Drosophila melanogaster: one gene and its partner. The protein of the gene in region 1 interacts with the protein of each later gene in a biochemical or structural test. Each region holds a gene or a part of one and is shown on either strand. Other genes may lie near its edges. The genes, in order: MAPk-Ak2 and IscU.

Region 1 (6,681 bases):
CCCTCCACCTTGTATAATGTGAAAACTCTGTGTGTGCATGAAGGATTATTTATGTTGGTTTGGATGTCTGATTTGGTGACTGAGAGTGAGTGTGTGTTTTGGGTGGGCTGCTGTATCCTTTGAATCCTGTACGGCGGGCAATAAATGAATCCTCGCTATTTATTACTACACGTCGATTGGAGAATTTATTTGATCGGAATATCAGCTTATAGCTGACTAATAGCACAGCAATTCCCTGAGAATGTCCCAGCAATTAACAAAACACACCGTGGTTTAACCATAAATTGGGGAAATATTTCGAAAAAAAAAGTATATATTTGATGGAAAACCAACTCGAAATTCATTCTAGCAGTCAGAAGAACATGACCAAATACAAGCCAATAAGAATAAGTGGAATATAAACCTGCAAGGCGAATTTTGAAACTCACCGTATCCTCGTCGTCATCGGTATTATCCTGAAGCTGCTGGAGTTGCAGCTTTGCCATGGCCGCCGTATGGTTCTCCATGTCCATGTCCTTGGGCGTGGACTCCTCGGAAATGACCGACGCCGATGGCAGGTTATCCACGAAGGCGGCAAAGCCGCATCCATTGCTGCTTTCTAGCGGCGTCTGCACCGATGTTGGCGAGGCCGACGATTTGGAACCGGATCTGGGCCGGACTCTGCCATTGACTGCGACGGTTTTTGGCGCCAAGGGAGCAGGCGAATGCTCGATGCGATGGGTATAGCGTGTATTCAGCCGTATGCTGCTATGCGGCGAGGACTGCGGGGATGAGGAAGAGCCATCACCACCGGTGGCAGCTTCTTCTCCGAGGGTTTTGGTCGGAGCAGGGGGCCCGGAAGCGTCCAGTTTTGGAACAATACCGCCGAGACGCAACTGCTGTTGGATCAGGCGCTCCGCTTCCTGCAGCAATTCATCCACGGATCGCATATCTGTGCTGTCGGACAGGCGACTCACCTCCTGGAATATGGACTCCGGGTCCGGATCGTTCAGTATTCCGCCGCAGTCCTGCTCTTTGGCCAGGAACTCGATGATCGAGCTGCTGTTCGTGTAGTCCAACGCATCCGCCTCCGACACGCCCTGTTTGTGGGGGCTAAGCACCTGCGACATGGCGCGCTGATGTGATCCGCAATCAAATGGGGCCAGTGAGGATGTCTATCTACTTTTCTGTTTCTATTCTATTTATATATATAGAATCCCGATGCTTCAGTGTGTTTGTTTGTTTGTTTGGTTTGCCTGGTCTATCAATGCAAACCAATTGAAAACGAACAGAAAACAGCCGGACTATGTGCTCGTTGGGGAATTTCCGGGTGCCCAGAGCTCGGACCTGGGGATCACGGATCTCACGGATGCGGACACGAGGCTCAGCGGACGCGGCGCATCGTCAGTTTGGCCGTGGCAACAACATTTTAACCACTTTTTGCAGTACCCACACCCCACTCCACTTTGTAGACAGTCGGTAGTAGTGATGGGCGAACGGCGATAAGCAGCTCGACAAAATATTCGATAGTCAAACAATTTTATTTTATGTTTTGTTTATGTTACATTAAGTAACGTCATTCAGTGACCGATTTTAACGTAAGCATTTCAGACATAACTGTTCCGCAAGTAAAACTTCATTTTTTTATTTTTTAACAAGAATCAATTAATACGAAATCTAATTGGAAAACGTAGTTTCAGTTAGATCTAATACAAAAACGTACCGTTATCCTGTATTCGATCAATTTAATCGATTTTTAGCTTTCGAACAAGCCGATAACCCGCAAATCGATTAACTAGCATACCTGTACTGGTACATTGCACTGTATTTACAGCTTTTTCCATTCAGTGTCGCCTGGTCACACCGCGAAGCATTTACAAATAAATTCCCTGGTCGTGTTGTTCTTTTTTTTCGTTCCGTTACATAGCACGCTAAAGTAAATATCCGAAAGGTAAATACGATCAGCTGAAGAGCAGGTAATAATGCGGAATATATATCCGGGCGAGAATGAAAAGCGGATAAGATAAAATCGCTGCGCGTGGCCAAAAAAAAAAACTGGACCACCTGAAAACGATCGAAAGGCGATAACAAGATAAAAAAAATGTACTGGCGTGTACAGTGAAAACGAGAACTCTAGGAATTACTAGTTAAACAGTGGGAGAACATGACGCATTGTTTGCATTTGTATGGCCGTTCGATAGTGTGTGTGTGTGTGCGCGGCCTTTTCGGTGTGCGTGCGGTGTGTGTGTGGGCAGTAAAATACTCGTTAATTAACCAATTTTAAAGAAGACTGAGAAAATAATAGTTCTATTCTCCGCCACTGCGTAATGTGCACGAAATTAACAAAAACCAAATGCACCATGTATTTCATCAGCAGTGCGGCAGCACGCACACAAATGCACTCAGCATACAGCCGTGTATCGATATTAGCGATTACCGATAACGCGTCCAACATATGCAATTACTACCGTTTTCCTGTTTTCCCCCGTTATAAAAAACAGAAAGAAAAACATTGTATACCGTTTTTCCAGGAAAACACAGAAAAAGAAAGAAAACACGAAAATATGCAGCGACTGTGGACCTAACCAGCCACCCCACCCAACTTCCTCCGCCCCCAGATTTCTTTTTGATATTTTTTTTCTGCCTCTCTGTAAGTTCATTTGCATGCAATTTGAATCGAGCCGAGATCGCAGCTCTTCGAGGTTCTCGGATCTCCATATTCTGTATATCTATAAGGCTGGAGAACTGAATGTATGTAGCAATTCCTATTCTCGTTTCGTACACGCCATGAAAGCAATGTACCCTTCTTGAAGATCTTGACTATATTTCTAGATCCAAAAGGTTAATTATACGAAAACAAAGAAAATAACACATTTTTCTCGATGCACTTTTATTATTGCTATCCAGGGATTCACTTTCCAAAAGAGCAGTGGAAACGTTGTGCAGGAATCCCCTATCAATTCCCACGGCAGACTAATTGCCAGTAATTAAAAAGCCCAACTGCTATACACCCAGATTAACTGAACCTTACATTTACGACGACAATAGTTTTGCGAAAGATAATAATTAAATAAAATTTATTGTTCCTCAAGCGACTACTTTTTTTTTTGGCCCGACCCTCAATGACGCCGAAATCGTTAAGCAAATAAGTTGCCCATAAATCGTTAACCAAAATTGGCTTTCCATTCACGATAACAATGAAAAGAAGCGTCTTGCAATAATGAAATCAATTTAAAGCTTTGTTTAATTGCACAAAAACGAAGTTAGTTTGGTATCAAGTCAAGGCTTTAAAGCTGACTAGATTACTTATAAAATTAAGACCACTCATCACCGAACTCCATTGACCATTTATCTTTTTTTCAGTTAAAGATCAGCCGATTCCAGAATGCTTTCTCTGCAGAATCAACGGCAACCGAAGACCACCCCACTGACGGACGACTACGTGACCTCGAACACGGTTCTGGGCTACGGGATCAACGGGAAGGTGGTGCAGTGCACCCATCGCCGCACCCAACAGAACTATGCCCTCAAGGTGCTGTTGGACAGTGAAAGGGCGCGTCGCGAAGTGGACCTGCATTGGCGGGTCAGCGGATGCCGGTACATTGTGAACATCATTGATGTGTACGAGAACACGTTTAAGGACAGGAAGTGCCTCCTGGTGGTCATGGAGTGCATGGAGGGCGGCGAGCTCTTCCAGAGAATTCAGGACAAGGCCGACGGTGCCTTTACGGAGCGGGAGGCGGCCCAGATAATGCACGAGATCTGCGCGGCCGTAGACTATCTGCACAGTCGCGACATAGCGCATCGCGATCTCAAGCCGGAGAACTTGCTGTACACCACCACTCAGCCGAATGCGACCCTTAAATTGACGGACTTTGGCTTCGCCAAGGAGACATTCACCAGTTACACGCTGCAGACGCCCTGCTACACTCCCTATTACGTGGGTGAGTGTGCCTTTTGTAGGGATAATCATCATCTAGTTTCTAGTTGAGGTCAATTGTCACATTGGGCACGAAAAATTGCTCTATAATTGTTAAAATCGTCTGTTTACCCACACGGAATTGTGTCAGGAGTTTTTGTTTTAGCCCGGAAGCCGCATGACAGGCATTTGCTGATAGTAAAATTACTTTTTATGCTTGTACCGCCCCGCTTACATAATCTACTAAGCGAACTTTCTCTATAACTTCTGTAATTCAATTCAGCCTTGTTCTCAATCTCGTTGCGAAAGAGTTGTTCGAGAGTTTGCAAAGTGCAATCGACTCGATTTGCAATCGAACGGAAAGAAAGGTTGCGAACATATCGGGGGATTCATAATAAGGTTTTAACAATTAGAATTCAGTTCTCATTGGGTAAATACAGTGTACTTATTCCTTAAAGTTAGTACATTTTCCATTTTGAATATATTATAAGATATTCTTCTGGATAGTTCCCATTTTAATGACATGTTTTTTCTTTTGCAGCTCCTGAGGTTCTGGGCCCGGAGAAGTACGACAAGAGCTGCGACATCTGGTCGCTGGGCGTGGTGATGTACATCATTATGTGCGGATTCCCGCCGTTCTACAGCAACCACGGCCTAGCCATATCGCCCGGCATGAAAAATCGCATCCGCACCGGCCAGTATGACTTTCCCGATCCGGAGTGGACGAATGTGAGCCAGGCGGCAAAGGATCTGATCAAGGGCATGCTGAACGTGGACCCCAGCAAGCGTCTGCGCATCCAGGACGTCATTAGCAACAAGTGGATTGCCCAGTACAATGCTGTTCCACAGACACCGCTCTGCACGGGTCGCATGCTAAAGGAGGCCGAGGAAACCTGGCCGGAAGTGCAGGAGGAGATGACGCGCTCACTGGCCACCATGCGCGTAGACTACGATCAGGTGAGTCACCCGCAGTGGCAACTTGGCATTGCAACAAAAAGATAAATCTCAATGCGAGTCCAAAGTTTTCACTTCTATTATATAACCATTACTCATTTGCTTCTCACCACATACTGTACATAGTATCTTTTCGGTCAATTTGTTTATACAATGGAAAAATAAATTTCAATTTCAGTATGCTTAAGCAATTAGCAAGTCGCCTACTTCCTAGCCCTCTTTTTGTTCTAGTCGTGAACTGGAAAGTCACTAATTATAAGAACTAACAGGAGGTTAATGCGCCTGAAATGCTTTGATTAGTTCAAAACTTGAAAGAAGGTCTTTTCCTAATTGGAATTTTCTTTTCTGCAGATGCAAATCAAGGCGCTGGACAAGTCGAACAACCCGCTGCTGACGAAGCGCAGGAAAAAGATCGAGGAGATGGAGTTATACATGGCCAATGCGACGCGCAACTAGACAACGAGGAATCCAGAGCGACTAACACGGCCAACCCGGGAGTGAGATGAGATGAGATGAGGAGAGATGGGCGTAGGATGTAGGATGGGCGAACCATCGGTTTAACACTTAAGCGGATAACAATGTTGTACAATGCTTTACAAAAACGATAAATACTACTATACTACGACGGCGGCAAGATCTGCTATTAACTAATATACTACGATGACAGCAACCTTTGCAAAACAACTACTCCATGTTATTGTTACGTTACGTTTTCTTATTCATTTTGTCCCATTATCTATCTATCCATTTCCAGTCAAGGGTTCTTAGGGTATTTTGTAGTCTGAAAAGTGCTCTTTTGTAAAAGAAACTATAAAGCGTAATGCGCAAATAACGAACTTAAGTAAAGCCAAGTGCAAGCCTAGCTAGCCAGCCAGCCCAGCCGAATATTCAAAATGTCTCGGTATCGCGTGAAAGTGTTTCGTTTTTCGATTCCCTTTTTTTTTTTAAATATTATTTTCCAAAAACGTGTCATTTGTAACCGAACCGTTTTTTACGTGTACGTGACTTTGATTATAATTATATATATATATGTATATGTATAACCGTCTGTGTATGTATGGCATATGTGTGGAGAAACAATTATACAGCCAGTTCACGTTAGCATTAATCTGCGCAAGATTCAGTGTTGTTTATAACTTTTATTTGCTGATTCTGCAAGCGATATACCATTTTACCGTATAGCATATTTGTAGTCCATAAACAACAAGATCATCCCCCAAATTAATAAAAACAAATCAAGCTTATTTTACTATGATTAAAACATAAAACAAAATTGCTTTCATTTCAACGCCAAGTGGGATAAAAGCACGGTTTAGAGGGAGAAAACAACAAGTGGTGGTTGCATCTTCTGGAAAAACTCTGAGCTTGACCCACTACCACCACCACCATCTGGTATGGAAACAAAAAGTCAGCTGGATTTCGGTTTTGTAGTGTCATTTATTTTCCATTTCCATGATCAACAACAGTGCTCCGGCATGTGAGCCATCAATAATCATCAACGATGCTTTTCGCATAGGGTGCTTGTGGGCGGGAATGGGGCGTGGCGTGGGGTCGGGTGGGGAAATGGGTAGGAGGAGGTTGTTTTTCGTGCAGGTTGCAAATAACAATTTGCCAACAGTGTGATGGGCCAACAGCTGCGAGAGGCCGCGATTACAATACCCGGACTAAAGGCTACGACTAAGACAATAGTTAACATTCACGTACTTGTACTTGTGATTCGGTTATTCGTGTCGTTTCTTTTGTATTTCTTGTGTGTGGTGTTGTTTTTTTTTTTTTTTATCAGAGGTTCTGTAAGAGGTTCGTGTTGTGGTTTCGATCTGCTTTACTGT
Region 2 (4,024 bases), on another chromosome or scaffold:
TTCGATGGATAACTCCAATGCAGAGCAGATACAGCTCCATCGGGAACTTTTTCATCAAATGCGATACAATGAACTCCACCAGGAGGTCCAGTAGAGTGGCAGCCAAAGGCTGGGACTTGCCCACCCGATCCACATTCAGCTTGCGATGACGCATCTGCGCCCGATGCAGCATGACTTTGAAGGTAAGATTGCTGTCGTGCATCATGGAGTTGGCGTACTGGTCCTCGGAAATGCAGGTGAGGATGAGGAAACACAGCTTCAGATTAGCAATGCTCGATTCGTTCTTATTGTCCTGCATCACGATGGAACAGTACTGAAATACGGCCACCAGCAGATTGGTGGGATACTGCGTAATGTCAATGATGGGTGCATTAGATAGATCCGGCACAGGTTGGGCCAGACTCAATGTGTTACTGGGCGAGGGCGGGGCACTGGACTCTGCCTGCGTGTGAGCCAGAGTTGTGATGAAGTTCCGATTCAGGTGCACTGCCTCGTAGAGGGCAAGTAGAAGGCCATTATTCGCCTTGATCTGCTGCACCCGTTCGCATCCTTCATCCGACACAAACATGTTGCCCACAATATTCGACAGCGACGAAAACCAGGAAGAGGATTGCACATTGTTAAGGCTCTGAATGTACTGGCGACAGAAATCAATTAGCGATTGCGATATCATTTGGCCATAGCTGGAATCAAGATAAAGTTCGGGTTACTATCGAAATAAGATATGCAAGCTCGTGGCAAGTTATCTGTTTGATGACGTCAGTCACCAACTGCTGCCACATAAAAGAACTTTGTGATTCAGTTTAAATATTTGATTACCCTCGATTATAAATTCTTTAAGCCAATTGCTTTCACATAAGTTGCCAGAAATATACATACATACATTACATTGACTAAATGGACTCACCCATTTAAAGCCAGCTCATCAGCGAGTATGGAGAGCTGCACCACATAGGGGTTAGTGGCTTCATGCTTGCGATAGTTGACCAGGATAGTAAGTAGGATAACGATGTCGTGTCCATGCTGGCTACGGAACGTAGGATCACTGAGTAGCCGAACAAAGGCGTCGAACATGCTGTGCATCATTAGATGCTCGAAGAGGGCGTTCTGGTTGACGTTATCCGTGCCCGTAACCAGAACCTGCAGCAGTTTGAGGCACATAAATCGAGCGTTTTCGGGCACATCGCCCAGGAGGATGCGATTGCAGTACTGCATGAGTAGCTTCAGCCATTCGTCCATCTTCTCATGGCCGAAGATCTCGTTTAGGATGTTTAATGTTGGTTCTGCGTTGGACTTCTTAAAGATCCCGTAGAACAGGGAGCACAGCGTGTGTAGGCTGTTGCACAGCCGCTTAGGATGATCTTCTGGGGGAAATCACGGATTATAGGTGGCTGGAGGTATATATTAATAGGTCAAACTGGTCTACCCGTGTCAAGCATTTCGATGCACCTCTGGAAGAGGGTGTTCAGGTTCGGTTTCACCAGCTGCAGCTGCTCGTTGTTGAGTTTGCCAATCTCATTCTCCAGCGCCTCGAAGTTCGGCTGCAGCAGGAAGAACTCGTTCCAAAATTCGGGACTCTCGCTGCTGGGATCCTCGCCCCGGCACAACAGCTCATATATATAGACCACCTGCAATAAATTCCAATTAGTCAAGCAAAGCACAAATCTTCGAGGGCGGAGCTCGTGAAATCCAGTGCTCCGGGCGAACCTTCTCCTTGGGCCGCTTGGTGGAGCCGCTGCCACTGCGCTTGCGAGAGGTCATGACTGGATGTGGATATTATTGACCTAGGGGACTAGTTTCAGAAACTCATAGTCTGCTGCTGTAAAAATATATCGGAAGTTGGCAGAATTTGTGGATGGGCAATAGTAAACTTTGTGATTGGGGAGTGACCATAGGAGTGAGTTTACAAAATACCTGGCAAGCTGCCAACTCAGAGTGTGATTTTAAATGCAAGAGGGTGCTTTATTCAAGCTTTTTTATGGCTCATTATTGATAAAAACAATTTATTACTTATAGTAAATAACTTATTATACTGAACTGTTTTTAAGGAGTAAATAATAATAATATAAGAAATCTTTTAAAAAATCGAAAACATATCGACAACGGCGTTAGCTGGTCTTTCACATCTGCCTTAAAACGGGCACACTGTCCATCAGCTGTTTCTAACACGCAGTTGCCTGTGTTTTTTCGATCTCTTTGAATTTCACAACAATTCTTCATTAAATTGATTTATTTAATTTAAATATGTCCCTGGTGCGAAACTCCTCCCGGTTGCTGCGATCGCAGCTGAAGCGCGTACAAAGTGTCCCGGTGGCATTGTATCATGAAAATGTAAGTTAGAACTCGCAATTGCCGCGCGGAAGGTTCTTTCGTAATATCTAGAAGCTGTATAATATAGATAAGAAACGACTTTGTTGTCGTTCTGAAAGACAGCGTTTCAGGCGGCACGCAAAGTGATAAGCGCGATAGCACAACCCCCTGGTGACTAACACACCTACCTATTTTCACCCACAGGTCGTTGAGCACTACGAAAACCCGCGCAACGTGGGATCTTTGGACAAGAAGGATGTCACTGTGGGCACCGGCTTGGTCGGAGCACCAGCCTGCGGCGATGTGATGAAACTGCAGATCAAGGTGGACGAGAACGGCAAGATAGTGGACGCCAAGTTCAAGACCTTCGGCTGTGGATCGGCCATTGCCAGCAGCTCCCTGGCCACCGAGTGGGTGAAGGGCAAGTCCATCGACGAGGCCGGAAAGCTGAAGAATACGGACATCGCCAAGGAGCTGCGTCTGCCGCCCGTCAAGCTGCATTGCTCCATGCTGGCCGAGGATGCCATCAAGGCGGCCCTGGCTGACTACAAGGTCAAGCAGCAGAAGAAGGTGGCCAACTGAGAGGCGGAACGGAATCTGTGAATGTAGTGGAGCGTTTCTCTGAACAACTACTAAAAAAAAAACAACTATAAGTACTCTACCATACAATACAATACCATATACTATATATTACTTGGCATTAGGTCGTAGTATGCGATTATTGTTCGCTAGAGCTCTGTGAGTGGTGAGTCAAATGGTATGGATACAGTGAATGGTGGTTAAGAGGAACTACATACATATTTTTTAATAATATGTATGACAATGCAAAATAATCCTCGTTTATTGCCTATTGGCTAGTTGCTCTTAACACACTTTTACTGAAATAATAACAATAATAATCATACCAACTGATTAATGCTTTGATTTTGATTGCAGATTGGCCGCGTGACTGCTGATAAGTGCATAGAAGTTTAGGAATCGTCTGTCATTGATACTAAAGGATAGCTGGAACTGATCTTGTATGAATGCATATGCACGTGTGTGTTTTGTAGGGGAATTCTAAGTAGTCCCGAGAGCTAATTAAATTTTCCGTTCTGTTATGCGAAATACAAGCTTGTGTCGAAAACAAATAAAGCGTTCCCGTTGGAATAAAAAATACATGAATATATTATTGCACAATCAGTGAAAGATGTTTAATCGTCAAAAGTGTTGAAATTGGACTTCTAGGACAGGCGAACGCTCACTCCACCGCCGCACTCGCCCTTGGACTTCTGCTCGAATGCTGCAAAAGGATTAAATCATATTTAATTCTGTAAGGATATTGTAGAGGATCTCTTACGATCGTCGGCATGCTGGCAGTTGTAGTTGGCCATGACGCACGGGCTGCCAAAGGTGAGGAGGCGCTCCTTGCTGCTGTTTTTGGCCTTGGCACAAACGGGCTCGTAGACTTCACCGCAGTTGTGCTGGCAACTGTTGGTGGCCGGCTTCTTGGTGTCCTTGGCCGGAGTAGCCAGGACGAATGCCAGCAAGCACAGTGCTAAATAAGTTTGGTCATGTTAAAATTCTTAAGCCCGCTCAATTATGTTTGTTTAAATGAAAACTAGATAAATATGTATTAGTACTTTATTTAATTTAATTGCATCACCGTTCGGAGCAAATTATATTTTTGTAGATCGGAATATAATTCTGTCCGTGAGATCATTCATTTGGGCTT

Evidence for each region.
Region 2: of the proteins of MAPk-Ak2 (region 1) and IscU, one has a biochemical effect on the other in vitro, tested with the Drosophila melanogaster proteins (one study listed by BioGRID).

What each region holds. Positions count from the first base shown.
Region 1 is NC_004354.4:5,759,343-5,766,023, reverse strand, and holds MAPk-Ak2 (MAP kinase activated protein-kinase-2), read left to right. Parts: upstream 1-1,820; 5' UTR 1,821-1,955; intron 1,956-3,091; exon of another isoform or gene 3,092-3,241; intron 3,242-3,339; exon of another isoform or gene 3,340-3,342; 5' UTR 3,343-3,364; coding exon 3,365-3,923; intron 3,924-4,439; coding exon 4,440-4,855; intron 4,856-5,203; coding exon 5,204-5,308; 3' UTR 5,309-6,116; downstream 6,117-6,681. Other genes in the region: CG42699 (uncharacterized protein), read right to left, coding at 429-1,109. UniProt on the Drosophila melanogaster protein: Its physiological substrate seems to be the small heat shock protein (HSP27/HSP25).
Region 2 is NT_033777.3:8,822,292-8,826,315, reverse strand, and holds IscU (Iron-sulfur cluster assembly enzyme), read left to right. Parts: upstream 1-2,138; 5' UTR 2,139-2,244; coding exon 2,245-2,331; intron 2,332-2,514; coding exon 2,515-2,892; 3' UTR 2,893-3,055; intron 3,056-3,246; 3' UTR 3,247-3,467; downstream 3,468-4,024. Other genes in the region: CG8379 (uncharacterized protein), read right to left, coding at 1-683, 908-1,364, 1,427-1,628, 1,708-1,761; CG8369 (uncharacterized protein), read right to left, coding at 3,534-3,592, 3,650-3,847. UniProt on the Drosophila melanogaster protein: Scaffold protein for the de novo synthesis of iron-sulfur (Fe-S) clusters within mitochondria, which is required for maturation of both mitochondrial and cytoplasmic [2Fe-2S] and [4Fe-4S] proteins.